Linked DNA regions of Cricetulus griseus. The protein of the gene in region 1 interacts with the protein of each later gene in a pairwise test. Links are inferred from orthologs where the notes say so. Each region holds a gene or a part of one and is shown in the gene's direction. Other genes may lie near its edges.

Evidence for each region.
Region 2: the proteins of Enkd1 (region 1) and Ubxn11 interact in binary tests that used the Homo sapiens proteins (3 or more experiments, as listed by UniProt). The two-hybrid records come from large-scale screens. The link is inferred for Cricetulus griseus from reciprocal best matches to the Homo sapiens genes ENKD1 and UBXN11.
Region 3: the proteins of Enkd1 (region 1) and Begain interact in binary tests that used the Homo sapiens proteins (3 or more experiments, as listed by UniProt). The two-hybrid records come from large-scale screens. The link is inferred for Cricetulus griseus from reciprocal best matches to the Homo sapiens genes ENKD1 and BEGAIN.
Region 4: the proteins of Enkd1 (region 1) and Mipol1 interact in binary tests that used the Homo sapiens proteins (3 or more experiments, as listed by UniProt). The two-hybrid records come from large-scale screens. The link is inferred for Cricetulus griseus from reciprocal best matches to the Homo sapiens genes ENKD1 and MIPOL1.
Region 5: the proteins of Enkd1 (region 1) and Pnma2 interact in binary tests that used the Homo sapiens proteins (3 or more experiments, as listed by UniProt). The two-hybrid records come from large-scale screens. The link is inferred for Cricetulus griseus from reciprocal best matches to the Homo sapiens genes ENKD1 and PNMA2.
Region 6: the proteins of Enkd1 (region 1) and Pdlim7 interact in binary tests that used the Homo sapiens proteins (3 or more experiments, as listed by UniProt). The two-hybrid records come from large-scale screens. The link is inferred for Cricetulus griseus from reciprocal best matches to the Homo sapiens genes ENKD1 and PDLIM7.
Region 7: the proteins of Enkd1 (region 1) and Cep70 interact in binary tests that used the Homo sapiens proteins (3 or more experiments, as listed by UniProt). The link is inferred for Cricetulus griseus from reciprocal best matches to the Homo sapiens genes ENKD1 and CEP70.

Annotation. Positions count from the first base shown.
Region 1 is NC_048596.1:181,988,650-181,992,807, reverse strand, and holds the start of Enkd1 (enkurin domain-containing protein 1), read left to right. Parts: upstream 1-1,358; 5' UTR 1,359-1,422; intron 1,423-1,663; 5' UTR 1,664-1,678; coding exon 1,679-1,763; intron 1,764-1,843; coding exon 1,844-2,038; intron 2,039-2,654; coding exon 2,655-2,827; intron 2,828-4,158. Other genes in the region: CUNH16orf86 (uncharacterized protein C16orf86 homolog), read right to left, coding at 14-258, 623-858, 1,076-1,159. UniProt on the Homo sapiens protein: Microtubule-binding protein which regulates microtubule organization and stability. Promotes the stability of astral microtubules and facilitates the proper orientation of the mitotic spindle.
Region 2 is NC_048595.1:19,186,241-19,189,740, reverse strand, and holds part of Ubxn11 (UBX domain-containing protein 11), read left to right. Parts: intron 1-2,182; coding exon of another isoform or gene 2,183-2,207; coding exon 2,208-2,311; intron 2,312-3,202; exon of another isoform or gene 3,203-3,208; coding exon of another isoform or gene 3,209-3,288; coding exon 3,289-3,317; intron 3,318-3,500. UniProt on the Homo sapiens protein: May be involved in the reorganization of actin cytoskeleton mediated by RND1, RND2 and RND3. Promotes RHOA activation mediated by GNA12 and GNA13.
Region 3 is NC_048598.1:185,739,198-185,743,213, forward strand, and holds the start of Begain (brain-enriched guanylate kinase-associated protein), read left to right. Parts: upstream 1-1,216; coding exon 1,217-1,467; intron 1,468-2,587; coding exon 2,588-2,654; intron 2,655-3,224; coding exon 3,225-3,332; intron 3,333-4,016. UniProt on the Homo sapiens protein: May sustain the structure of the postsynaptic density (PSD).
Region 4 is NC_048598.1:145,200,889-145,204,987, reverse strand, and holds the start of Mipol1 (mirror-image polydactyly gene 1 protein), read left to right. Parts: upstream 1-1,299; 5' UTR 1,300-1,468; intron 1,469-4,099.
Region 5 is NW_023276807.1:221,896,243-221,899,254, forward strand, and holds Pnma2 (paraneoplastic antigen Ma2), read left to right. Parts: upstream 1-1,417; coding exon 1,418-2,512; downstream 2,513-3,012.
Region 6 is NC_048596.1:274,494,265-274,497,764, reverse strand, and holds part of Pdlim7 (PDZ and LIM domain protein 7), read left to right. Parts: intron 1-1,889; coding exon 1,890-2,041; intron 2,042-2,121; coding exon 2,122-2,152; intron 2,153-2,593; coding exon 2,594-2,712; intron 2,713-3,053; coding exon of another isoform or gene 3,054-3,070; intron 3,071-3,313; coding exon 3,314-3,450; intron 3,451-3,500. UniProt on the Homo sapiens protein: May function as a scaffold on which the coordinated assembly of proteins can occur. May play a role as an adapter that, via its PDZ domain, localizes LIM-binding proteins to actin filaments of both skeletal muscle and nonmuscle tissues.
Region 7 is NC_048597.1:207,688,505-207,692,004, forward strand, and holds part of Cep70 (centrosomal protein of 70 kDa), read left to right. Parts: coding exon 1-15; intron 16-1,711; exon of another isoform or gene 1,712-2,282; intron 2,283-2,392; exon of another isoform or gene 2,393-2,415; intron 2,416-3,098; coding exon 3,099-3,189; intron 3,190-3,382; coding exon 3,383-3,500.

The DNA of each region.
Region 1 (4,158 bases):
GATTGCCACTCACGCTCCAGCCCCAACGTCTCCGTAGGTGTGGATGTGCCAGCTAAAGCTGGGGGCACAGGAGCCCCTACACTCTTGCGTTTCTTGGCTTTTTTGTGCTGTTTAGCAGACAGTGAGGACTCACTGTGACTGCCCTCTGGCTCCTCCTTCTGCAGCAGCAGCCCTGGTGGCAGCTCAGCTTCAGCCCTAGGATGGGCATGGTAGCTTGGCCCTGGGAGGGCTGGGGTGCCCAAGCCTGGAACAAGAGGCCTGAAAGAGGTGCACTTCAGTCTTTGGCTCCTGTGTCTTGAGCCTAGGGCCTAGCCCAGCCTGCCCACCAACCCCAGGACTAGTCAGCTGCCCTTTCCTGGTCAATGAAGCTCCAAGCCCAATAGAGACCTGCTACTCATGGTAACACTGTCTCTTATAAGACCTGAAAGCCCCAAATCTTTTTTTTTTTTTTTCTTCCTCTTAGACTCCTTTTCTAGAGAAACAGAAGTTTCTAGTTGGGAGTTGGGGCAGTTGCAGAAGACAAAGATATCTGCCTAGAAGGAATCAGGATTTAGGAAGCTCGGGGTGTAAGATCCCCACCCCCTTCAGCCCTGCAACTCCTTCCCTCTGAAAACCCCCTCACTTGATAGGCTTTCTCTTGGGTCCATGACTGGGCCTCACGATGGATGATGTAGGCTTGGGTCCTCTCTCCTCTCCTGCTTCCACCCCTGGATTGAGCCCTTCCTCTCCCCGGTTTATTCCTTCCTCCTGGAGCTCTGGCTCGAAGCTGTGTCCTACTGAATACTTGTCTTCACTTGGGGTTCTGCAGGTCTCATGTGCGGGCACCAGACACTTTTCTCCTGGTCCTGGTCCTGGACACTGGAAGATACGCAGAGTAGCCAATGGCCAGGCAAAGTATTGTAGGGACCAGTCATTCAAAGTCCAGTATTGGCCACAAAATATGACATGAAGGCTACCAGCTCAGGCCCCTCTACTTGCAGGACTCGACCAGGCAGTTAGGGGGTTGGGTCACCTACAGTCCCCCTCTCCTGCCCTACCGCTTCTACCTCCCTAGCTTCGAAAATGCCTGAGTCACCTCAGTGATCTCTGCAAGCTGGGCTAATCCTACTGTCGCCCCATTCTGGGCATCTGGCTGCCTCTGGGCCCCTGCTGAGGCCATGGCTGTGCGGAATCAGTGCATCCCTTGACGGTTGCTAGGAGAAGACGGCGGGTTCAGAGGAGGTTGGACTGGTGTACTCAGTCTTGGTAGGGTAGACCCGCTGGGAGGTGAGACCTGCGACTTAAAAATAGTTCCTAACCTGGAACTACAAACCCCAGAAGGCTTTTCGCCGAAGTTATTGACCCCTGACCTCAGGAAGTCATTTGTTGCCAAGCAACAGCAACTCCTACTAGCTTGCAACAGTTGGCGGTAAAACTGCTCCAGTGAGAGCCCCCTCTGGGGTGTTGCGGGGGAGGGGTCGCGAACACCTCAGGGCAGTCGGCCAGGATCCCGGTAGCAGGATGGTGGCGCAGACTGAGCCTAGGGACTGGGCGAGAGACGAGGGTGGGGGTCGGGAATGGGGGCTACTGCGGGGCTGCAGGGCTCGGGTGGCGGATGGAAGCACCCAACAGGGATTGGGGGCCGAAGTTGCGCAGCGCAGCAGGCTTCGTTGCACGGTTGCAGGGCTGCGATAGGATCATGTGCGAAGGCCCATCCAGCATCTCTGGACCCATTCCCCCAGACCCTACGCTCTGCCCGGACTACTACCGGCGGCCGGCCTCGGGTGAGTTGCGGGGTCCCACGGCGTGGCGAGTAGCTCGCGCCGCCACTGAGCACGGCTTTCCACCGCGTCTTGCTCTTCAGCCCAAGGGCGCCTGGAAGGAAACGCACTGAAGCTGGACCTGCTGACTTCAGGTCGCGACATGGACTTCAGCCCTTCTCGTGGCCCCCGCATCAGGCCTGGAGCCCGAGAGATACTAGAGCGTGGCCAGCGAGGCGTGGGAGACGTGCTGCTGCAACTGGAGGGCATATCCCTTGGTTCAGGGGTATCTCCTAAGAGTAAGTCCTTGCCAGAAGTGGTATCGAGGCATTCGGCGGTCAAAAGCAGAAATTAAAACAGGATGCTTCTTAATTGCCTTGAGCCCAGGTAATTAATGTACTTTTGTGGGTCTTAGTTTCCCTAGCACAAAAAGAGGCCGAAATGCACTACTTCCTAACAGGATCAGAGTTCCGTTCTTATGTAGGTAATCCTAGCTTCAAGCATTCACACCTCGATGGAACGTTGTTTACTTAGCCTGCTTTTGTGCCAAGCCCTATAGGTGTTGGGAAAACAGACTTTAAAAGTATGAGTGGAACAGTTGGAGGCAATAAACAAGACAGGACAAGGTAATGGTATCACTATCAAAATGTAGAAGATACCAGAAGGAACACTGTGGAAGGAGAGATTAAGATGATAATAGTGCTGTGTGTATGGAGTCTAGCTTACATAAAGAGGTCTTGGTTGTATTTAAATGTTGTGTGTGTGATGTTGGATATTGAAACCCAGGGCCTCTTGTATTCTAGGCATCTACCAGATTGTCTGGGAGAAATTTCTGCAAAGGATACAGTGTGAGCCTGTGTGGTCTAAGTCCCATGGCCATTTGTAGAGTTGTCCCTAGCAACAGTTTTTCCCCAGGGAAGGATCCAAAAGACCATGAGAAGGAAAACCTGAAGCGGATCAGAGAGATTCAGAGGCGCTTCCAAGATCAAGAACGAAGCCGGGAGCAGGGCCAGCCTAAGCCCCTGAAGGCACTGTGGCGCTCACCCAAGTATGACAATGTCGAGTCCCGAGTCAAGGCCAGGATGAAGGTATCTGTTCCTCGTAGCCAGACATATTGTCCCTATTGGCCAACAGACAACTATACCCTGATCTAACTTAAAGGGTATGTGTAGGGGGATCATAAAGGCTAAGACATCTGGGGTGGACCTTCTCTGAGCTGCTGATGACATCAGGACAAGTAAGAATTAGGTTAGGTGGACACATGGGGAAGGGCCTAGGCCTGGCCCAGGATGATGTGGTAGACTTTGGGGAGCCCCTTTTGAAGGCCTTACCCTGCCTGGGGAGTGGAGGGGGGATGGCTAGGGGCAGGTGGGATGTTGGGGGGAGGAGAGGGAGAGGGAGAAGGGATTGACATCTGAAGCAAGCTTGTTCCTAATTTGAACTAATAAAAAAAAAAAAAAAAAAATTAGGCTAGGGGAAGAGATGAGACCATAGAGATGAAACCTCACAGGTAGAAAGAAGTCCTGGGGTCAAGGCAATGGGGATAATAGTTATAATTCAATATGTAGACAATTAGAGCTGAAAGCTATCTTGACACATATCTGAAAGAAGTACCTAAGCTACTTGTCAACATCATTTATTTGTAGTGTTGCAGATTGAATGCAGGGTCTCTTGCACCTTAGGCATACAGTGTACCACTCACTAAGTTATGCGCCCAGCCTTCCTACTAATTCATTCTCAGTTTCTCTGTCTCTGTCTAGCCCAGGCTGTCCTCAAACTCTGTGTACATGACTAGAGTTGACTCCTAACTCTCCTTTTCCACCTACCAAGTACTGAAATTAAAGATGTATAGTACCAGCCGGGCGTTGGTGGCTCATGCCTTTAATCCCAGCACTTGGGAGGCAGAGGCAGGCGAATCTCTGTGAGTTTGAGGCCAGCCTGGTCTCCAGAGCAAGTGCCGGGATAGGCTCCAAAGCTACACAGAGAAACCCTGCCTTGAAAAAACAAACAAAACAAAACAAAACAAAAGATGTATATTACCATACCACTTTCTCTCTTTTTCTCTTAGTTAATTGATTTTTGAAAAAAAAAAATTATGGGGCTGGAGAGATGGCTCAGGGGTTAAGATTGCTGGCTGCTCTTGCAGAAAACTTGGGTTCAATTCCCACCATCATATCAGCTCACAACTATCTATGAGGGTTCCAGGGGATCTGGCACCCTCACACCAATGCACATAAAATAAAATTAAATGAATTAGTTTAATTTTTTTTTTTTATGTGTATGGGTATTTTGCCTGCAAGTCTATGTGTCACAGGGGCCAGAAGGTGGCATCAGATCTCCTGCAACTTTTGTTCTAGACTACTGTGAACTGTCATGTGATACTGGATACTAGTCCCCTGGAAGAGCATCCAGTGCTCTT
Region 2 (3,500 bases), on another chromosome or scaffold:
TCCAGGCTAGTGAGGAGGCATAGTGTGACTCAGCCTGCAGGAGGAAAGCCTTGGGGATGGGAAAGGCCTGCATCTTGATGGCAGTGGTAAAACCCAATCTGTCCGTGTGACCAGGTGCCACTGGACTGTGCACACAAACTGCAGAAACAGCCAGTTCTGCTGCTCATGCTTTACTGGGGTTGCCTAAAACAGTGACTACAGAGGGCAGCTGGGTGATGGGTGCAGGGGCCCCTCAGAACTGTTTCCTTGTGAATCTCTGATAATTTCTGAATAAAAAGCTAAGTTATAGCCTAAGAAGAAATAGAAGGAAAATCGAGGGGTTAGCTTGGCCAGAGGAAGGGTATGGGTCAGAGGAGGAGACCATTCCAGAAGAGGAGGTTAGAGCTGGAGAGATGGCTCAGCTGTTTAAGTTTGGTTCCCCGGAGAGGGGGCTAATGACAGGGCACCCTGTGTTCCGGGCATTGCGCAGCTGCCTTCAGTGCAAGGGTGCTCAGGTGGGGATAATTTGAGGAGGCAGACAGGGCCAGATCACCCGTGGGAATTTTATTTTCCTCTTCACCCTCTTCCTCCTCCTCGCTGTCGTCCTCTTCCTCTTTTTTAGATAGGATCTCACTATGTAGCCCTGGCTGGCCTGGAACACACAGGGATCTGCCTCCCCAAGTTCTGGGATTAAAGGTATGCACCACCATGCCCATTTTTGAGTTTTTCATTCAAGGGTGAAAGTTTGTTCAGGGGTGTGGCATGTCATTGTTGCTTGTGGGCATGAATAAAAGGAGGGAGCCCAGTCCTTCCACTGAGCAGTGCAGAGGTATGGTGAGGAGGTAGGATGGTGGCTGAGGGAACTCTGCTCCAGGCCATGGGAGGGGCCCCCTTTTGAGAACTGGTGGGGCATAAGTCCCAGACTTCAGAAAGAAGGTGAGGGAGGCTGCCTCCAGGCAGCATGGGTTCCCCTATTGGAGAGTGTCAGTCTGTCCTGTTTGCTCTCTGTTGCTGTGGTAACAACCATGTCCAAAAGGACCGTGGGGAGGGAGTTTATTTGGCCTATACTTCCATGTCACAGTCCAACATGGAGAGAGGTCAGGCAGGAGCTGAAATAGAGGCCATGGAGCAGTGCTGCGTATTGGCTCGCTCCCCATGGCTTCCTCAGCCTGCTTTTATCCAACTCACAACCTCCCTGCCCGGGAGTACACAGTCAGAGGAGGGCTAGGCCCTCCCTCTTCAGACATCAATCAAGAGTAGGTCCACAGGCTTGCCTACAGCCTGATCTGATGGGAGCATTTTCTCATCGAGGGAATGAGGTTCCCTCTTTTCAGAAGATAGATGTTAGCTCGTGTCATGTTGACAAAAACTGCCCAGCATATTGGGGAAGGTCAGTGTCACATTTCCAGAGGTCAGCTTTGGACTTAGCCTGAAGACTCATTTCAGACCCTCCCTAACAGAGATCCCTTTGGCTCTAGGCTTGCTAGGTTTTAGTCGCTTTATGTAGGGAACAGAGTGGTGGCTTTTAGTTAGAACTGGCTTGCACAGCATACTCTTCATCAGAAGAAGGGAGTCAGCATTTTCCAATGTTGTCGTCCCCTGTGCCAATAACAATGGCTCCACATCACATAGCCACAATTCAGCTGACAGGTGCCTGCCTTTGAGCTTGGCACTGGGCACAATGTTTTGGGACTTGAGCCCCACCCCCTCCAGTCACCTGCCTGGTAGGTGCTGATACCACGCACATTTTACATGGGAGGCAGTGAGGTGCCAGTTAACACTGTGGGTAGCAGGGGGTATGCAAGGGCCCAGGTAGGTGCCTGACTTCCATGGTACATGACTGTGTCTTCAATGAGTCCTGCCTGTGGGTAGCCTCCTCTTCCTCTGAGATGATAGGGGTGGCACCTGGGCTCTGGCAGGCAGGGAGGAGATACCTGGGCTTTAATGCCAGCCAGCTCAGTTATGGGTCCATAAGAGCACACACTCTAAACTTGGGGAAGATCCAGGCCCTGCACCCCACCAGGCAAGGGGTTCTGTGTTCAGAACAGAGAGTCAGTGGCTCAGAGGAGCCAGCAGACATCAGGAGGAACCCTGGCCTGCACTGGAGGAGTGAGGCCTGCTTCTCCTGGACAGTGTTCCTCCTCAGGGAGAGTTGCAGCTCCCTCCTCCTGACCTGAAGCCCTGGGTCTCCTCTTTCTCCAAGGGGTGACTTCCTTCTTTCCTCTCAGGAGTTCCTGACAGCTAGCCTGGAGACTAGAGCTATGAGCTCACCTCTGGCCTCTCTTAGCAAGACACGGAAGGTGCCCCTAGAGTCGGAGCCTGTGAATCCTGGGTAAGGAGCCAGCCAGCCTCTAGGTCCTTGTGTCCCTGCCCTGTCTCCTCCTTAAACCTTCCCTCAGAGAGGAGAATGACTGCTAGTGTCTAGGGGAGTACAGAGAGCAGTTAGTGGCTTTCTGTGTCTACCTTGCTTCTCTTTGTGCTTTTTGGAAACTCTGCTTTGTGTTGACCAAAGATTGGACAGTGCTTCCTGTTAGACATGGCCCATGAGAGGGCTTGTCATTCACTGTTCACTCACCAACTCTGCAAACAATGTTCTGTCAGCCTGAGCCAGGCTTTGCTGGGCTCTTGAAAAGCTTTATCCTTCCTTCTTTTCTCCCTTCCTCCTTTCCTTCTTTCCTTCCTCCCTCCCTCCCTCCCTCTCTCCCTCCCTCCCTCCTTCCCTTCCTCCCTTCCTTCCTTCCTTCCTTCCTTCCTTCCTTCCTTCCTTCCTTCCTTCCTTTATTTTATTTATTTTTTTGATTTTTCAAGACAGGGTTTCTCTGTGTATGCAGCCCTAGCCATCTTTGAACTCACAGAGATCCTCCTGCCTCTACCACCAAGGTGCTTGAATTAAAGGCGTGCGTCATCACACCTGGAACAAAGCCTTTTCTGCCTCCTGTTTCCTTGGTGCTTTTCTAAATACACTTAGAGTCTTGCTTAGATCCAGAGAGGTTAAGCAGCAAGCCTGGGCCCACTGTACTTCAGAGAGGAGCTAGGGTCAGCCTTTCGAGCTGTAGAATTTTGAGGTCTTCCCACCAAAACTGCCCTATGGTGTCTCTCCATCTTTCTCTGTTGTGAGGAGTTAGGCACTATACAGTGTGTCCCTTGGCTCACCCTGGCTAAGGACAACTTGGGGGAGGGGGTAATCTTCAGGAGATAGAGGCTTAACCTCTATCTCTTTTAGCCTTGCATGGGGCCTGGAACCTTTCCTTGGTGGCATTCCTGGAGGCTTAATTTGTATTTGTTCCTTCTTCCTGCCTGGGTTCCCAGGAAGCGAGGGATAAGAATCTACGGAGATGGTGAGTGTGTGCTCTGCCCCCGTGTCCCCTTCCTTCTCACCAGTCTACATCTCCTTACACCTGGGCAGCAAGGGAAAGAGCTTGCTGAGGTCTTGTGAGACTGGCCATTTGCCTGCTCGTTGTACTTTTGAGCTTTCTACCCTTGCTCAGAGGTCTGGGCCACTCCTTGCTCTGCTCCTCAGC
Region 3 (4,016 bases), on another chromosome or scaffold:
TATTGGCCAACTGTCCTGGAAGGTGGCTGTGATGGCTGAGAGGGGCAGGGACTGGAAGGGCTGGTGGACCAGTGAGCCAATGTCTAGAAGACCATTGGCTGGCCAGGGTAAACTGAGGCTCTGTGAAACAATGCTCCCTGGTGGGTCCCGGCGCTGCATGGAATGCACCCTGGAGCTCCTTTCCTGACCCTGTGGGTGCCCAAGGCAGGGTAGAGGAACAAGGGATGATGTAGAGGCTGGCTTGGGTTTGTCAGTGCGGGCAGGGTCTGAACTGAGTAGAGACAGGTGTCTGTAGGCATGTGGGGTAGGCTGCCTCATAGACCTAGAGGGTCGGGGCCGAGTGTCACAGCCTACCATGCTATAGGTCCAGCTTCCCAAGAGCTTGGCCTGGATACTGGCGAATGAGTTGTGCTGAGGGGGGCACCACAACAGATGGACCAGGCTCTCGTCTCTTCCCAAGGGCACAGCCTCTTCCTATGGCCTCCCAACCTCAAGGGTTGCTGCCCACTGTGACTCTGCTTTGGATGGAGTGGGTACTCCTGGAAGCTTGCCACCCCACAAGGGAGGAAGGGCCTGAGTAGCGGCTGCCTGGAGTGGGCTGATGCAGCTGGGCGGGCTGCCTGGAGGAGAGCAGCAAAGAGACAGCTGGCAGAGACAACAGAACACCTGGCAACTGGGCCTGTGTGGGCAGCAAGGCCTTGCCTTTGGGTTTCCCTTGCTACTTTAGAATCTCTTTTGGGGACTGACTCTCAGGAGGACCCGCCCCCTTTCCTCAGGCCTGGGCAGGAATCCAGGAATGCCTAATGGGGGTGGCTGGGAGTGTGCCTGTGACATGTGTGGCTTACTCACAGGGTTGGGGACACTTCTGATGATGCCTGCCGGCCCTCCACACCCCTCACTGGGTTTTGAGTCGGGGTGGGGGTGGGGTGCCTAGTCCCATAGTGCATCTGGGCAGACTTGGGGCTCCCAGCACCTCCCACCCCCTTCCCCCAGGCACCTGAACTTCCTTCCCTTTTGCCCCCTACCTACTGCAAGTCTACTGCAAGTTACAGTCTCAGGTGTTGGGGCTAAGATGGGATGGAGTGTGAGCACCCAGGGGACAACACAGAGTCCTGACCCCTAGAAGGACACGAGTGCTGGCAAAGCCGCCACAGAGAGCACCGGGTTATGCCTCAGTGCACATATTCAAGTAATAGTGGGGTCGAGAGCACAGTACATGCCCACAGCATGCCTGGCTGGCCAGTGTGGCCTCAGTTTCCCCTTGCTCAGTGGCACAGCCTGGCCAAGCTGCCTGTTGCTTTGCAGTGCCCTGCAGGAGCAGAAGGGCGAGCTGCGCAAGCGGCTGTCCTACACCACCCACAGGCTGGAGAAGCTGGAGACAGAGTTTGACTCCACCCGTCACTTCCTGGAGATTGAGCTGCGCCGAGCTCAGGAGGAACTGGACAAGGTCACTGAGAAACTGCGCAGGTGAGGATGGTGAGGATCTAGCTGCATACAGCTAGGTCACCGCAGTGCTAGCTGCGGGGATGATTGGCAAACGTGGAGCAGAGCAGCCTACCCAGGGCTTGAACCTGCGACCCACTGATGCCATTGTCAGGCTCTTCCAGTGCCCTCTTCCAGACCTGGCTTCTCACGCCCTCATACATGCAATACTCTGACATTGGATGAGCCAACAGCAGCATAGGTGGGGCTGCTTCCAGACCCCTCCCCACTGGCCACAAAAGCTCCCAAGACGAATGTGGATATAAAAGTGGCATCTTGAGTGACTTGGGGACTCAGGATGCATTGAGAGATTCCTACACCGTTTTCCTTCTGGCATTGGCTTTTCTAAACCCTATTGTGGGTATCCCCAGCTTAGAAACACAAAGAGGATTCAGGCTGCTGTTGGCTGAGTTTGTTTTAAATACTTAGAGGAGCGGCTGGCATTGTCCCGAGGGCAGTGTGTCCCTCTTCGAATGGTCCCATTCTTCTGGGCTTTTGAATACACTCCACACTGTGTGGGAGCCAGGCTTGGTTAAAATCCCAGCTCTGCTCTGCCACTAAACTGCATTAAGCGTCTTTTTGTGTCCCTTTCCTATTGGCAAGGCAGCAATAATACTGCAAAGGTTGTCTAGAGGACACACAGCCACCATGCCTGGTCCCCCAGCCACCAGCAAGAGAAGGCCAAAGCATATTGCTCCGTCTCTACCTGCTTTTCCAGGTGGAGCCACATGCCCTCTTGGTCACTGGCACTCATCTCGGGGCCACATATACACGTGTGTCCTTCTGTAAGCCACCTGCCAGCTTCTAAGAACTGCATACAGCTCTTACAGGCTCTTATGCACACAAGCCTCCCTGTGCTCTCTCCAAAGAGCCCTACTGTGGGTGGGCAGAACAATGGGACTTTGACCATGGCCTAGGAGAAGCCCTGACAGAAGTCAGCTCTGATCAGATCCTGAGTGCAGACATTGGATCAGGTAGGGCTGGTGGCACAAGCTTAGGAGCCCGACAGCCATGCTAAGCAGGGCATGGCGGCCGTGAGGTTGCTGGGCTTGCTTGTAGGAAGGTCAGGCCTTTCGAGTCTTGACACTGTTGCTTCCTGCTGCAGGATTCAGAGCAACTACATGACGCTGCAGCGTGTCAACCAAGAGCTGGAGGATAAGCTGTACCGGATGGTGAGGCCCCAGTGCACGCTACCTGCCCCCTCTCTGAGTGGCCCCTTGAGGCTTGTTCTCACAAGTGGGAGGTGCTCTCAGGATGAGAACGAGGTGGGGTCCAGGGAAGCCATGCCTGTGCAGGCAGCACGGAGAATGGCCGTGGGGCTCTGGCACCTCCTCTCTTTAGGATGAGGCTCCTGCTTGATCTTGTTTGGTGACAGGTGTTCAAGGCCTGCCTGTCTTCAGTCTGAGGACAAAGGGGGCAGGATAGGTAGGGGCTGGGCCATGCTAACCATCACTTCTCCACTCATTGAGACAGGTGGGCAGGGCAAGCCATACTTCTCACCACATAAGAAGGACATCGGGAGCAGGTAACTGAGGCTCAGTGGAAGGACTGGCCTAGGCTAATCCAGTTTATCATTATCGAGATGGGATTAAACCGGGATCAGTCTGTGGTCTTAACTCCTACACCATTAGCCTTTTGAGCACCTTGTCATCAACAGCTGTTGGGCTCACAAAAGCCTTGACCCAGCAGCTGGGCTGTGGCACTAACCACTAGCTATCCCTTCCACTGCCCCTACTGCCCAGGGCCAGCACTATGAAGAAGAGAAGCGGGCGATGAACCACGAGATTGTGGCCCTCAACAGCCACCTGCTGGAGGCCAAGGTGACCATTGATAAGCTGTCGGAGGACAACGTGAGTGCCATATTCGTTTGGCCCCTGGAGGGATGTCGCAGGTTTTTTTTGGGGGGGGGGTTCCCAAGGGAAGCCTTGGCAGGCAGGGCCTTTCTGATTCAGAGGACTCCAGCTTGGCCCCAGACAAGGGGAGGGACAGGGCAGTGAGGACTTGGAGAAGTGCCCCGGACAACTGAGAGAGGGCAGAATCCCTGATGGCAGGGCTGCAGGTGGGATACAGGAGGCCACCTATCCCACCCACACAAGACTTTCGACTTCAGCCAGCTCCAGTGTCACCCCACAACTGTGTGATAATCCAAAGGAGCCCCGTGAGATGGCCAGCCGCTTCCCACTGTTCCCTGTGGGCTGACTGTGGACACACTAATTAGCCTGTGCTCCTTGCCATGAGATCGTACGAGGTTCTGAGATTATGGTCTGACAAGCACAGACCAAGGAAAAAAACATGGCTGCCCTTGGGGATTTTAAGTCCACATGGGGAAAGTAGACAGTAAATTGGGCAGTCAGCAGTCTGAGTAGCCTGTTAGAAGTGCTAAGTGACGAACTAAGTGTGGCAGTGGCAGTTTCAGTTAGTTCCACTAGAGCGTGTCACTTAGGATTTGAAGACTAAGCACTCAGTGGCCAGGTGGCCTGAGCCCTTCCCAGAGTAGGGCAGAGAGGTCCCAAGCGCAGGAGGCTCAAGCAAGG
Region 4 (4,099 bases), on another chromosome or scaffold:
GGGTGGTGGTGGTGGGAACTGTGTATTTGCTATGTATCCCAGGCTGTCCTCAAATTTATGATCATTCTTCAAAGGTTTAGGATTACAGAGGTGCACCACCATAACCATATTTTTAATTATACTTTATGTCCATTAAAATCTGATTCAACTCTGAGTAATGTAAAGCAATAAATAAATAAAATTAAAAATTCACTTTAAGGTCGAATGTCACAAGCCACTTCAGAGAACTAGTCATTGGTTACATAAAAAATGAAACTGTTTTTTAATATTATACTCTATTTACTCCAAATAATTTAACTAAGTTCTCTCATCCATTTTCCAAACTTCACACCCTTTTGGCACTTACTAGTAAGTTCCTTTCACTATCTTTGTCCATCATGACTTTGGTGGTCATCATGACTTTATTCTCTCTCTCTCTCTCTCTCTCTCTGTGTGTGTGTGTGTGTGGGTGTGGGTGTGGGTGTGTGTGTGTGCGTGCGCAGAAATTACTATTATTGATAACATTAGTGCTAATATTATTATTCCAGCATCCAAGAGTACAAAAGAGTACTTGGCACATAGTAAATACTCAGAGTACTAAGTAATGTAAATTAAAGTGACTTTAAAGCTCAATACTAAAGTGCCAGTGTTAAGTGGCCTGTAGTTCCAGTAACTAGGTAACTTGGCTAAGGTGGGAGGCAGGTGTTTCTCTCTCTCTCTCTCTCTCTCTCTCTCTCTCTCTCTCTCTCTCTCTCTCTCTCTCTCTCTCTCTCTCTCTCTCTCTCGGGAAATACTTGGTTCATTACCAGTTATATCAGTTCAGATAAAATTCCACGTTACCCCTAGAGTCCACAATAAACCATATCCTCTGCGTTCAGGTTTTTCTTTTAAATTCCGAGATTGAGCATTTTGAGCATGCACATAGTCTAGCATACACTCTCTGTAGTCCTGAAGTGAAAACAGAAACTGCCAAGAGCTTTAAAGCTTGTCTGAGGCGTTCTTTGGCCCGCTTGGAGGTCTCCCTCGGGCTCCCGTCGCAGCACCCTTCCTCGCGTCCCGCAAACCACATCCACTGAAGGGAACCGCAGTTTCTGCCCAGTGAAGATCGCCCGCGCACCCCACGTTTCCCCTCCTCTCGCCGCACAAGAGTTCGTCTGGACCGTAGTCCTCTACTCCCATGGAACGACCTGGGGCCACACTATTCCCCAGCTCCCCTCAGCACTCCCCGCGGCCCCAGCTCGCCGGAAGCCCCGCCCCAAGATCGCCAGCGGGCTCGCGCATGCCCGGTGCGCGCCGCGGCCGCAGCCGCAGCCTCGTCCCCGTGGGCCCGGCGGCGCGCCCGGCCTTGTCCGCCCCGCCCCGCCCCCTTCGGTCACTCAGGGGCGCGCGCGTAGCGGGCGCGCGGCGATTGGCTCCCTCGGTGGCAGCGCCCCAGGCCGGAGAAACTGCGTGAGCGGAGTGGGCGCCGAGGGGTCCCGCGGCTCCTCAGGTACCGGCGTGGACCCGGAGGGTTGGGGGAGGGGAGGGAAGCTCAGGGTGGGCTGTAGCCGGCTCGGGACTTCCGGCCGCGGTCCCCGGAGAGGCAGGAGGGCTGCGCGGGGTTGGCCCGGAGCGTGCGGGCCACCCTCGAGGGCCCGCGTCGCGGTGTTCTCAGGTGACACAGTGCTCCTTCTCCTCGGGTTTCAGCACAGCCTTAAAAGTTAAGAGGCTGAACATGGATTCAAAAGTGTGGGTTTTTATCCCTGCTAAATCTTGGCAAGAGTTCGGGTTTCAGTCCCCGCTGGAGGACTGAAGCGATTTATAGTTCTCACCCTTGAAAGTGCGAGCAAAACTCCAGTGTTGCTCAACACGCGCGGAGCCGGCTGTAGTAGGATGCGAATGGAAGCAAACTCTGGTTTCAAGAGCCGGCTTTTCTAACTGGAGGATGATACCACCCAATGGTATTGGTGAAGTATTTGAAGCTCTATGGAAGGACCTGGGTAAACTTCAAATATCGCAGGATAGACGAGGGTGATAAAAAAAGAAAACACCTTTTCTATAAGAACAGGTCTTTGGGTGGACTCCTTCGAGCATTTTTATGTGAGTCAGTTCCCAATGGTCCTGGACAGAGCTAGGGAAGGATTGCTTTAACCTACGAGTTTCACAAGTAACTCGCTTTGCAAAGTGTGTTCTGTCTGCAAAGGATCTCACCCAAAACAACAGTTGCATAGTAATCATTCCATAGGCTGGCATCCTGTGCGTATTTGCCAGAAATTGCCTCCATCAGATTGTTCTATAGGCATGTCTGTGGACATTTTCTTGATTAATTTGATTATTGATTGGTTTGGGAGGGCCCAGATCACTTTGGGTGGTATGGCCTTTGGGCAGATGGTCCTCAGTTGTATAAGAAAGGAAGCAATGCAAACCATGGAGAGCAAGCCAGTAAGCAGGATTACTCCCTGGTCTGTGCTTCAGTTCCTGCTTCCAGGTTCCAGTCTTGAGTTCCTTTGGGAGGTTCCTTGGGTGGTGGAAAGCCCCCCACCCACTTTCAGAAACAAAACTATATTACATCCTATGTTAGTATGCCAGTAAAATTAGGCTTGCTTTTTAAAAGTAAGATAATATGAATTGTTTCATTAGATAAAAGTAAGGATGGCAAAAAAATATGAATAGGAGATAGACACATTTTTTTCTTCAAAGACAGAGTATGAAATAAAATCTTTGTGTGATAACTTTAAAATGTTTAAGTCATGTGTAAAACTCATTGTATTTTCATGCTGTATACTCTTTTATCTAGTACCAAGATCAAAAAAAGAACATGATAAGGGACAGAGGAAATCGATCATCGGGTTAAGAGCGCAGGCCCTGGCTTGATTCCCAGCATCTACATGGTGCACCAAGCATCTATAACTGTAGTCCCAAGAAATCTGATGCCTTCTGCCCTCTTAGCATGCTTGTATGCACTGTGTATGCTTGCCGTGCCAAGACATACATGTAGTCAAAATACCAACATACATAAAATAGAAGGTTACATTTTTTTTTTAAAACAGCATAATAGTATTTACATCCCAGAAAAACCCACTGGTGCCCTCTTTCTAATAGTAATCATTGGATTTGAGTTTACTTACATAGGAATCCAAGGGACTGAAACCATTACAGCCTAATGGCCCCCTGGTTAATTATTTTGGCTGAGTACTTGGACTGGATTTGTGCTGTGGGCTGTAGTTTGCCAACCCCTGCTGAATTAAAAAATGACTGCTCAGTACCAGTACAGCTTTTCCCTGTCTATTATCTCAGTTAGCATATACAGCGGACACCTTATGTTTTTAGGTGGTGAATTTAATACATATTAGAAGTATGTTGAGGCAACATTTAGGGATAGTCAAGCAGTGTGATAATGAAAACTTCTTTGATTGTTAAGCAAACACAGATTTAAGATAGGCCATGCCTTCTGACACAATACATTGAGTTTATATACACACTTTTAAAATAAATTCTAATGGGATATTTGTTTGTTAGCCAACAATAAGTAACAAATGCACTACTTACTAAATTCAGAAAAAAATTAGTGAAAGAAATGGCTCTTTGTGAGCATTTAAAGAACAGGACTACATTTTAGTTCTCTCTCTCTCTCTTTAAAAAAAAAAATTTAAACAGGGCCTCCTGTCTTCTAGGCAGGCCTCAAACTAGCTAAGTAGTTGAGGATGTCCTTAGGTTTTGAGTCTGATGTTTCTGACTCTGGAGAGTTGTATGCTGGTGTTACAGATGTGCACTACATGCCTGGAGTGTTTTGTTGTTGTTGCTCTTGCTGGCCCTGAACTCTTGGCTTCAAACCATCTTCCTGCCTTAGCCTACCAAGTAGCTGAGACTACAGCTATGGGCCGCTTCACTTAACTCGTTTACTTTAATATGTTTGGGAATAATTAATTTTATGTCCTGAGATACTAAATTTAATCATAGCTATATACCCCATTTTTTTCTTGGGTTATGGTTTTTGTTATTGTTTTGTTTTTTTAGCTCTAATCTGGCAACATAAATTACTACTTTAAAGGGGTGGCTCATTTGTTGCTTCACTCAAATGGGTGACTAATGGGACAAATTTGCCATAGAACTGTTTTTTGGTAGTTAATTAGAGCAACCC
Region 5 (3,012 bases), on another chromosome or scaffold:
CTTCACGGTGTGCTTGTTTTTCTGAGATTCAATTTTTCTTCATTATACCCATTAAAAATTATTTTGAAAGGTCTGAGTGATTCTACTTAGGTTTTTTTTATATATATCTTTTTCTTCTTTTGAGACGAGATTTCTTGGGGGTAGCCCAGATTGAGTTCAAACTTGGCACCCTCCTGCCTTATCTTCACAACAGTTGAGAGTGGCACCACACACAGTGCAGTTGTATTTGTTTTTAAGTATGATTCTCATGTAGCCCAGGCTGACCTCAAAGTCCCTATGAGGTCAAGAATGATCTTAAATTCCTGATCCTCCTGCCTCCACCTCCCAAGTGCTGGGAATACAGGCATGTACCACCATGCCCAGTTTATGTGGTGCTGGAAATTGAACTCCAGGCTTTGTTCACGTATGGTAGGCAAGCACTCTACAGACTGAGGAGTATACCCAGAACTAGGAGGTGTTTTTATTCAAAGTGCAGCAACTATCTTATTTAGGATGTTCTACTAAATTGTGCAGGACTGTCACTTTTTTCCCATCCTTTACTGAACCTTTATATTTTTAATAAGTGCATTCATCTTTATTACTAGATTTTAGGCCTAAAAACACATTGTTCATGTTTGTGTGTAACAGGACAGCTTGATTTGGATGAAGTTCAGACACACCCATACTATTGTACAGAGGTGGGAGACATCTTCCAGAGCTGGAAGCTGAATACATGCTCCTTGATTCTTGAGGAACATTCCGGAACACATAAACAGGTATTTAACTATGTCTCCTAATTTCATCTTTCGAATGGTGAAGGTCTTGAATCCCACCCACTGATGGGGCTTTGGGGTGGAGAGAAGGGGTTTAAGCTGCTCCCCTAGCCCTGAGTACAGTGAGCAAAGAAGGGGGTCCAACAGAGTGGGGTGGACAAAGGTGCAGTGGGAGTCATAGCCCTTGGTCCACCCCTAGCTCCATTCCAAACCACAGTGTGGGTGTGTCCTGGGAAGTAGAGGTCTGCGTAGTAAAAACAAACCTCTGTTTCCGTAGGCGTCCTCACCATCTCGCTGTGTGACGACTTTCCAGAGTTTTGGGTGCTAGAGTGAAAACCACCTCCTCATTGACTGTAGAGACAAAGTGACAGAAACCGGGAGAGGCTGGGTCGAGCAGTCATTCCAGGTGCTTCACAGTGACAAGAGTCAGCACCACACAGCTGCCTGAGGCTCTCAGAAACGGCAGCAAACCCACTGCAGAGCCACGGGGCTGGTAACTGCAGCCTACCCTGTCCACCCAGCAACCTTGCCGTGGGTCCGAAGACACACAGGAAGTGCCTGGTTCTTGACACTGAGTAAAAGGACAGAGCGTTGGTCCGCAAGGCTCTGAGCTACTTGGGAAGTGAGCCAGGCAGGCACTGTGTGCAGAAGCATACCCTAGGGCGATGGCAGTGGCACTGTTGGAGGAGTGGTGCAAGATAATGAGTGTGAGCGATCAGAAGTCACTGATGGTGACTGGCATACCAGCCGACTGTGGTGAGCCTGAGATCCAGGCAGTCCTTCAGGAGGCGCTCAAGTGTGTGGGCAACTACCGCCTGCTAGGCAAGATATTCCAGAAGCAAGACAACACGAATGCTGTCTTACTAGAACTCGTGGAGGACACAGATATGTCTGTGGTCCCCAGTGAGGTGCAGGGGAAAGGAGGTGTCTGGAAAGTGATCTTTAAGACCCCTAACCAGGACAGTGAGTTTCTCCAGAGATTGAACCTTTTTCTAGAAAAAGAAGGCCAGACCATTGCAGGGATGTTCCGAGCCCTGAAGCAGGAGGGAGTGTCTCCAGCTACCCCAACCTGCACATCCCCTGAGTTACTGGCCCACTTGGTGGGGCAGGCAATGGCTCAAGCTCCAAGGCCTCTGCAGCCTGTGAGGTACTGTAAGTTGCGAGTATTCTCTGGGAACACAGTACCTGCCCCGGAGGAGGAGTCCTTCGAGATCTGGTTGGAACAGGCTACTGAGATAGCCAAAGAGTGGCCCATCCCAGAGGCAGAAAAGAAAAAGTGGATGATGGAGAGCCTCCGCGGCCCTGCCCTGGACCTCATGCACATCGTACAGGGAGACAACCCATCCATCAGTGTGGAAGAGTGTCTGGAAGCCTTTAAGCAGGTGTTTGGGAGCCTGGAGAGCCGTAGGAGCTCGCAGGTAAGATACCTAAAGACCTATCAGCAAGAAGGGGAGAAAATCTCAGCCTACGTGCTCCGGCTGGAAACTCTGCTCCGAAGAGCCGTGGAAAAACGGGCTATTCCCCGAAACATTGCTGACCAGGTACGCCTGGAGCAGGTCATGGCCGGGGCCAACCTCACCAATGTTCTATGGTGCCGGTTACGGGAGCTGAAGGATCAGGGCCCACTACCCACCTTTTTGGAGCTGATGAAGGTGATACGGGAGGAAGAAGAAGAAGAGGCCTACTTTGAACATGAGAGCAGGGAGGAGCCAGGGGAACGAGAGGGCTATGGCCGCTGGGACAATTCGAGGAACAACTGAGAGACACCCCTACTCCTGTCACCCCCTGGTGAGCATAGGGACAGTGCTTGATGAGGCTAATCCTATTACAGTGGAATTTTTCTCTAATACACAGGATTGAAGTCAAGCATTAGAACCAGATATTTTCTTTTTTCTTTTGTTTTGACAGGGTTTCAACTTATAGCCCAGGCTGGCCTTGACTTGCACTTTTCCTGCCTCAGGACTCCCAAGTTGAGTTCTGGGATTAGAGGAGTATACCATCACTAGCACCCCATCTCAACTTTTCTTTCTGAGAAAAAAAAAAATGCCTAGACTCTGAGTAGAGTGGTTTGGTGGACTCTTAAGCAGAGTGTAACTGAATACAAGACTAAAGGAACCCTAACATTCCAAACTAACCAAAACGTAAGAGTTAATCCAGTTGGGTAGGTCCATCACCTGGCTAATGGACTGCCCACCAGGAAGGCAGATTCATCTAACTCCATGCTAAAGACAGGGGAGGAATAATTATCCCCTTAATGAGA
Region 6 (3,500 bases), about 93 Mb from region 1:
CACACACCCCTGGGTCTCACCCCACACCTCTCAGGAAGCAGGCTGCCTGTAGAGGAAGGAGTGGCTAAACCAGGTTTCCATCTCCTGACTGACTCACCATGACCATGAGTTAAGTCACTTCCCCTCTAGGGTGTCACTTCCCTGTCCCCCTTGTAAGGGACAGATTGGAGTGGGATGAAGGTGAAAGGAGCATGAAGACCCCAGACTTAGTCAAGGCATGAAGGGGTCTTTTTCAGACAGGGTCTGCATTGAACGGTCAGTCCCCCTGCTCAGCGTGCCTGAGTGTTGGCGTTGCAGGTGTACAGTACCAGGCCTGGCACCCAGAGTCTTTTTGTTTTTAATTTCATAAAATTTTAATTAGTTGGTGGTGGCGCATGCCTTTAATCCCAGTGCTCAGGAGGCAGAGGCAGGTGGATCTCTGTGAGTTTGAGGCCAGCCTGATCTAGAGAGTGAGTTCCAGGACAGCCAGGACTGGTTCACGGGGAACCCTGTCTCAAAAAACCAGAAGACAAAAAAAATTATTTTGAGACAGGATCTCTCTGTGTAGTCTTTTTTTATTTTAGAGACAGGGTTTCTCTGTGGCTTTGGAGCCTATCCTGGCACTCGTTCTGTAGACAAGGCTGGCCTCGAACTCACTGAGATCCGCCTGCCTCTGCCTCCCAAGTGCTGGGACTAAAGGTGTATGCCACCAGCGCCCGGCCTTTCTCTGTGTAGTCCTGGCTGTTCTGGAATTCACTATGTAGACCAGGCTGGCCTCGGCTTCCAGAGTGCTGGGATTAAAGTTGCCGTGTGCCGCCACCACCCAGCTCCCCAGAGTCTTTATGGGGAGTTCCTGCTTGTGTGTGAGAGTATTTATCGACCCCTCACTTGTGCCTGTGTAGCATAGGTGCGCTGCTGTGGAGGGCCACATCCTGGCTGCACCTAGTGCAGACTGGATGACTTGAGTTCACATGTTGGCAATACTGTTTTTTCTGAGTATGAGCAGGGTGGATCCCCAGACTCTCTGCAAGCACATTGGGAGATGCGGTGTCAATACTAGGTGTTCTCTGAGTTGCTATTCTTAGCATCTGTTAGCAGGTAAAGAAAGGGCTCTGACTTAGGTGCTCTCTTCTCTGCTAACCTCCCCTTCAGGCACAAAATAGAGCTGTCAAGTCCAGCTCCATTCTGTCCTAGTGTTTGCAGTCTCTGCATCAGGACTGTCCCTAACATTCTCAGAACCTCCTGGCCTTCCCACTGCACCGCTCACCTGAGGATCCTGCTGCCACCTTTGGCAGCCTGTACCCCACTTTTCCTGCTACCCGTGAAGTGTAAATTAAGCCTGCTCTGTGGTGCCAGGCCCTTTGCCAGATGGTTGAGTGGACCTGTGATTTCAGAGCTGTGGGTGACCGATGTGTCTCCAATCCTTTTGGCTTTGAATTGGGAATTTCTGGTCTGTGTGGCAAATGAGGGTATGTAGTAGGCCTAGTGGGGTAGTGCTCACCAACACTGGCTGATTTCTGGTAAGTGGTGAGCTTTGGTCACCCCCCACCCAAAAAAAAAGTATGTGGCCATGGGAGCAAGAGTACATTTATGAAGGCATTCAGTGAATGGGGAAGGGGGCAGGGCAGTCGCTCAGTTGCTCAGATAGATGGGACACTTGTCAGGACCCTGACAGAAGTAACGCTGATCGACCCTATTAGGCCTTTGTAGCCCAGTCTTAACACAGGAGGGCAATCTGGTGGTGAAGTAGCCTCCAGAGCAGACTGGCAGAGCCCTCAAAGGCTGTGGACGCTAGCCTGAGGTGCACTGTGAGGGAGGGTCATAGAGAAGAATAGACAACCAAGCAGTGGAAAGGTAGATGACACAGCTTGGGTGTGGGCCCATGGGCTTCTGACCACTCCTCTCCACAGCTCACCCCTGGAGGCAAAGCTGCACAGGCTGGCGTGGCTGTAGGAGACTGGGTGCTGAGCATCGATGGTGAGAACGCAGGGAGCCTCACACACATTGAGGCCCAGAACAAGATCCGCGCCTGTGGGGAGCGCCTCAGCCTGGGGCTTAGCAGGTATGGGGCCAACAGGATGAAGGGGTGAAGGCAGTCTCTGGTCTGGCCCACTGCCATCACTGCTTTCTCTTCTTCTCCAGAGCCCAGCCTGTTCAGAGCAAACCACAGAAGGTAGGTTGTACAGGAGATAACTAGGCTGAGAAAGGGAGGGGGCTTAGACTTCAGGGTTGACCTGCCCTCCCCAGGCCCAGCCTTGTTACCCCTAAGAGCAGAGGGCAGATGCCAGAAGGGGCAGTGTCTGAGGAACTGAGAGGGGCTGGGAGCTGCCGCACGGTCTGGGCGCCACACGTGCCTGCCTGTCTGTCTGCCCGCCCGCTTCCTCCCACGAGCCTGTGCTGTGTGTGCCTGCCCATCCTTGGTCTCCCTTGGCCCAGAGTGGGTTGAGTTCACTACTTCCAAATGGGCCCCTTGAAATCATAGTTTCCCCTCACCCTTAGCCTCTGCCCAGATGTGTACGTGGAGCTGGACCTGTCACTGTCCTTGGTGGTGGTGACTCCGCTCCCACCTCAGCCCCCACTCCCACCCACCCTGCCTGGCTCTGTCTCTGCCCAGGCCCTGACCCCTCCCGCCGATCCCCCGAGGTATACTTTTGCACCAAGCGCCTCCCTCAACAAGACGGCCCGGCCCTTTGGGGCACCCCCACCTACTGACAGCACCCCGCAACAGAATGGGTATGTCAGCCCTCGCCCACTCACTCCTGTCTATTGTCCACACCGTCCAGTCCTTCCACAAGCACACACAAGCTGCCCGCTACTGCTCAGTCTGTGCTGTACCCCAGCCCCTTAACCGTGTGGCAGCAATCCCTGGCGGCCGGGTAGGCCTGAGGGTGTAGAGCCCCACCTAAGGCTGTCGCTCTTGCACAGGCTCTGCCACTCTGGGCAGCCTGGGGTTGGGGTGTGACTGGGCCAGCTGAGTTACTGCCACCTTGCCTCCCTCTGCACTTCTCTAATTCCCCATCTTTCTCTCCCGCGTCTGTCACTTTATTTGTCTATCTGTCTTATTTCCTTCACAGGTGCAGACCCCTGACAAGTCAGTGAGCCCCCTCTTCCTGTCACTTTTTCCCTTCCTTTGGGCACTTTGGGTGGTAGCCCCTCCCTACCCTGGCTACTCTCCTCCCGTCTCTCATTTACCTACCTACCCTCCTGCCCAGCAGGGCCCTTTGCCTCACCCCCCACCCTTCCCCTCTCTCGCCTGTCACATCAGATCCTGGTGGGGGGGGCTGCCCCTGGTGTTCACCAGAACCAGGGGTTCTGAGCCACACCCTTCCCACAGACAGTTGTTCAGACAGCTGGTCCCCGATGCCAGCAAGCAGCGGCTGATGGAGGATACCGAAGACTGGCGGCCACGGCCAGGGACAGGCCAGTCCCGCTCCTTCCGCATCCTTGCCCACCTCACGGGCACAGAGTTCAGTAAGTGCTGGCCCAGGTCAGGGCGGACTCTCTTGGCCTTAGCCTAGGCC
Region 7 (3,500 bases), on another chromosome or scaffold:
CTGATTGAAAAACAGGTAAGCTTAAAATATTTTGTCACTGTTTCTCAAAGTATATGACAAAAGAATGACAAGTATACAAATAGAAAACTCTGACATATTTTCTTTTTGCATTTTCTTTTGCATTTATTTATTTTTGTATGTGGTGTGCATGAGGTCAAAGGAAACCTTGCAGGAATTAAGATTTTCTTCTTCCACCATGAGAGTCTCAGGACCAAACTTGGATTGTCAGGCTTGGTGACAAGCATTTTTACTTACTGAACTTTTTTCTGGCCTGAAATTCTGACTTTAAAAAGATTGTTTGTTGGGATTGTGAGATGACTCAGTGGCTAAGAGGGTATACTGCTGGAGCTGACAGTGATGGTGCACACCTTTAATCCCAGCACTCACGAGGCAGAGGCAGGCGGATCTCTGAGTTTGAGGCCAGCCTGGTCTATAGAACTCGTTCCAGGATAGCCTGGGCTGTTATGTAGAGAAACCCTGTCTCAAAAAAAGAGTATATACTGCTCTTGTAGACCTGAGTTCTAGTCCCAGCACCCACATCATACAGCTCCCAACTACTTGTAAGTTCAGTTCCAGGTAGTTACACTCACCTGAAAATACTATCCGTCACTCTGCCTGACCCCCAAACTCATACACAAGTACATGTAATTAAAAATGAATCTCCTGGGGCTGGAGAGATGACTCAGCAGTTAAGAGCACTCGATGTTCTTCCAGAGGTCCTGAGTTCAATTCCCAGCAACCATATGGTGGCTCACAGCCATCCATACTGAAATCTGGTGCCCTCTTCTGGCCTGCAGGTATATATGCAGACAGAATAAATAAAAATGAATCTTTTAAAAAATGGATAAATTACTTAAGGATTCTGGGTTAAAGACTGTCAAGTATCTTTATTTCTTTAGCTTCCCCAATTTTATCAGTCTCCAGAAGATTTGACATATGGTTCCTTCAGGAGCCAGAGGCATCGAATCCCCTCTGGAGCTAGAGTAACAATCCTAGTGCCCATATTGTCCCTCGATGCTGCATACACAGCTCCCTATGGTGCCCAGTTTGGTGGCTGAGGGTGTGGAGGCAGAGACGGCTGCTGGGTCTTTCTGTCTTGCTTTTCAGGGTTGAGGTGATGGTGATTGGGGCAGGTTCTGGCAGCTGTGGCTCCTCTGGGAGTATGATGATAAGGAGACTGGAGGCCTCGGTGTGGCTGCTCAGGGGTTAACAGCTGTTATTGATAGCAATGGTTGGTCAGTTGACAGAGGACATATATCAAACACCACAGGGCTTGAGGGCATTGAGTGACTGCATGCTGTGTTCACAAATGCCTTCTTTACTTGCTCTGGGACTTTGAGGATGACACCTTCAAATCAAGCACAGGGACTTCCAGAGGTGGTCCAGGCTTGTCTGAATTCATAGTAAGCAAGATGATTTCCAGGAACTATCCATGAAGTTTGTCACTATCATAGTCTAGTGAGGTACAGAACATTAAGGCACAGGTTGTGGGAGAAGATAGGACAGCATCATGGTGGCTCCTTCCAGTTGTGCTTGTTAAGTGGGCAAGGGCTGGGGGGCAGGGCTCAGCTGAGCCCCTTCTGTCAATTCAGAGGATTACTCTGAGATTAAATTGTAGTGAAGACAAAATGGACTAAAAAGTCAATGTTATTCCATGTTGGTGGAAATAGGAGGAAGGAATGAGTCCCCTGAAGCAGGAAGGGGGGGACAGCTAGGCACAGTTCTGTGACTGTGACCCAGCTGGCCACTCATGCTCCATTTTTACTTTCAGTGACCCCAGGAAGGTCTGATTCTTTGTTTTCTTCCCTTTGGGATTTGCTTGCAGATTTCACCAGCTGTCTACTGACCATCTCTACTTTTCTTCCGCCTCTGCTTTGTGCACGTCTTTGGCATCTCTTCTTTCATGTCCAGTTTAGCAAATGGCTTCATGGTTTGTTTGTATAATGGTTGTTTGAACAGTTCAGGGTCATCCTCTACTTTCCTTCCTTACCCCTGCCTCTTAACAATTTGTTCTTTTCTGCCTGAATCACATCCAGGGCCTCTTCTGTTCCCGTGGCAGTAGCCTACTTGTAAGTTTTGTCCACAGCTTCAAAAGCCTTTTGTGCACCACCAGTAGCATCTTGATTTTTGTCAGGATGTACTAGTGTTATATAGCGGCTGAAACCTCTCTTTTATTTCTTTTTCTGTCACTTCAGGAATAGCTGGAAAATCTCAAATGAGTTCACATTAAAGAGGAACCTGGACAGGTCAATCTTTCAGTCTGATTTTTGGATGTGGAGCTTCTATTTGTTTAGCCTCCCTGAAGAAGATCATAAAGGCCTCCTCTCTGCCACCTGCCCAGGACCCTGGCCCTTTGGAAGCTGCTATTTCCCAAGTCCAGCCCTCACATGACCCTTGATTTTCTTTTTTCATCATTGTTAAAGAGATACTTATTTCAGAGTGGCTAGTTTTAGTTTTCAGTTGTGTCATTTGAGTATGGCCTGACCTTATTCAATTAGACTTACCTGTTTCACTGAAATCACAAGTTTTGTTTTAATTTGCCCATTAAGGGGCCTACATGTGGTTATTTTGTGTAATATAACAATTTACTCATTTGCATACTTCTGTTGCTGATTTTAGTAAAGACTAAACCTTTGTAAATTATAATTTGATACATAAAATTTCATATTAAAACTAGGCATGCCAAACATCTTTCATTTCAGCACTTGGGAAGCAGAGGCAATTACACCTTTTAAGTTCAAGGCTGGTCTGGTTTACATTGATAGTTCCAGTCCAGCCAGGGCTACATAGTGAGACCCTGTCTAAAAATTGTAAGACCATTTAAGCACTTGCTGGTCTTCACGGGACCCTAGTTCAGTTCACAGCATCCATGTCATGTGGCTCACAACTGCCTCAAACCCCAGGGGCTGACACCTTTTTCTGGTTTCTGCTGCACTGGAACTTCACGAGTTCATACCCTCATATAGATGAACAAATACATACATCTAAAAATCAGACACCTTTGGAGGAAAGGTTCTGTTCTGAAAACATAGGATGCTATATAAAAGGTTTTTCTTCACATCTTTAAGTTGTTCCTTTTTTCTCTACTGTGATTGTAGCAGGAGGAAGCAGAATGGGAAAGCGTAAATGGGCTGTTGATGACGCATGGCTTCAAACCTTTGTGTCTAGTCAAAAGAACTGACCTCAAAGGTAACTAGATGCTGTTCTTGTTCTGTTAGGAACAAAGCTTTTTCTTTCTTTAAAAAGTGTTTATCTTAAAATGACTTTACCTTCTCTTTGTTTTTTCATGGCATATATATGTGTGTGTATGTATATGTATTATGTATTATATATACATATATATGTATATATATATTATATATATGTATGTATATCAATGTAGAGCTCATCGTTTTTGACAAACAATCATCACAAAGAATGAGGCAGACTTTGAAAATGTTGATAGAAGAAACAACACGTCAGCAGAGCATGATCCGGGACCTCATAGAGACCAACCAGCA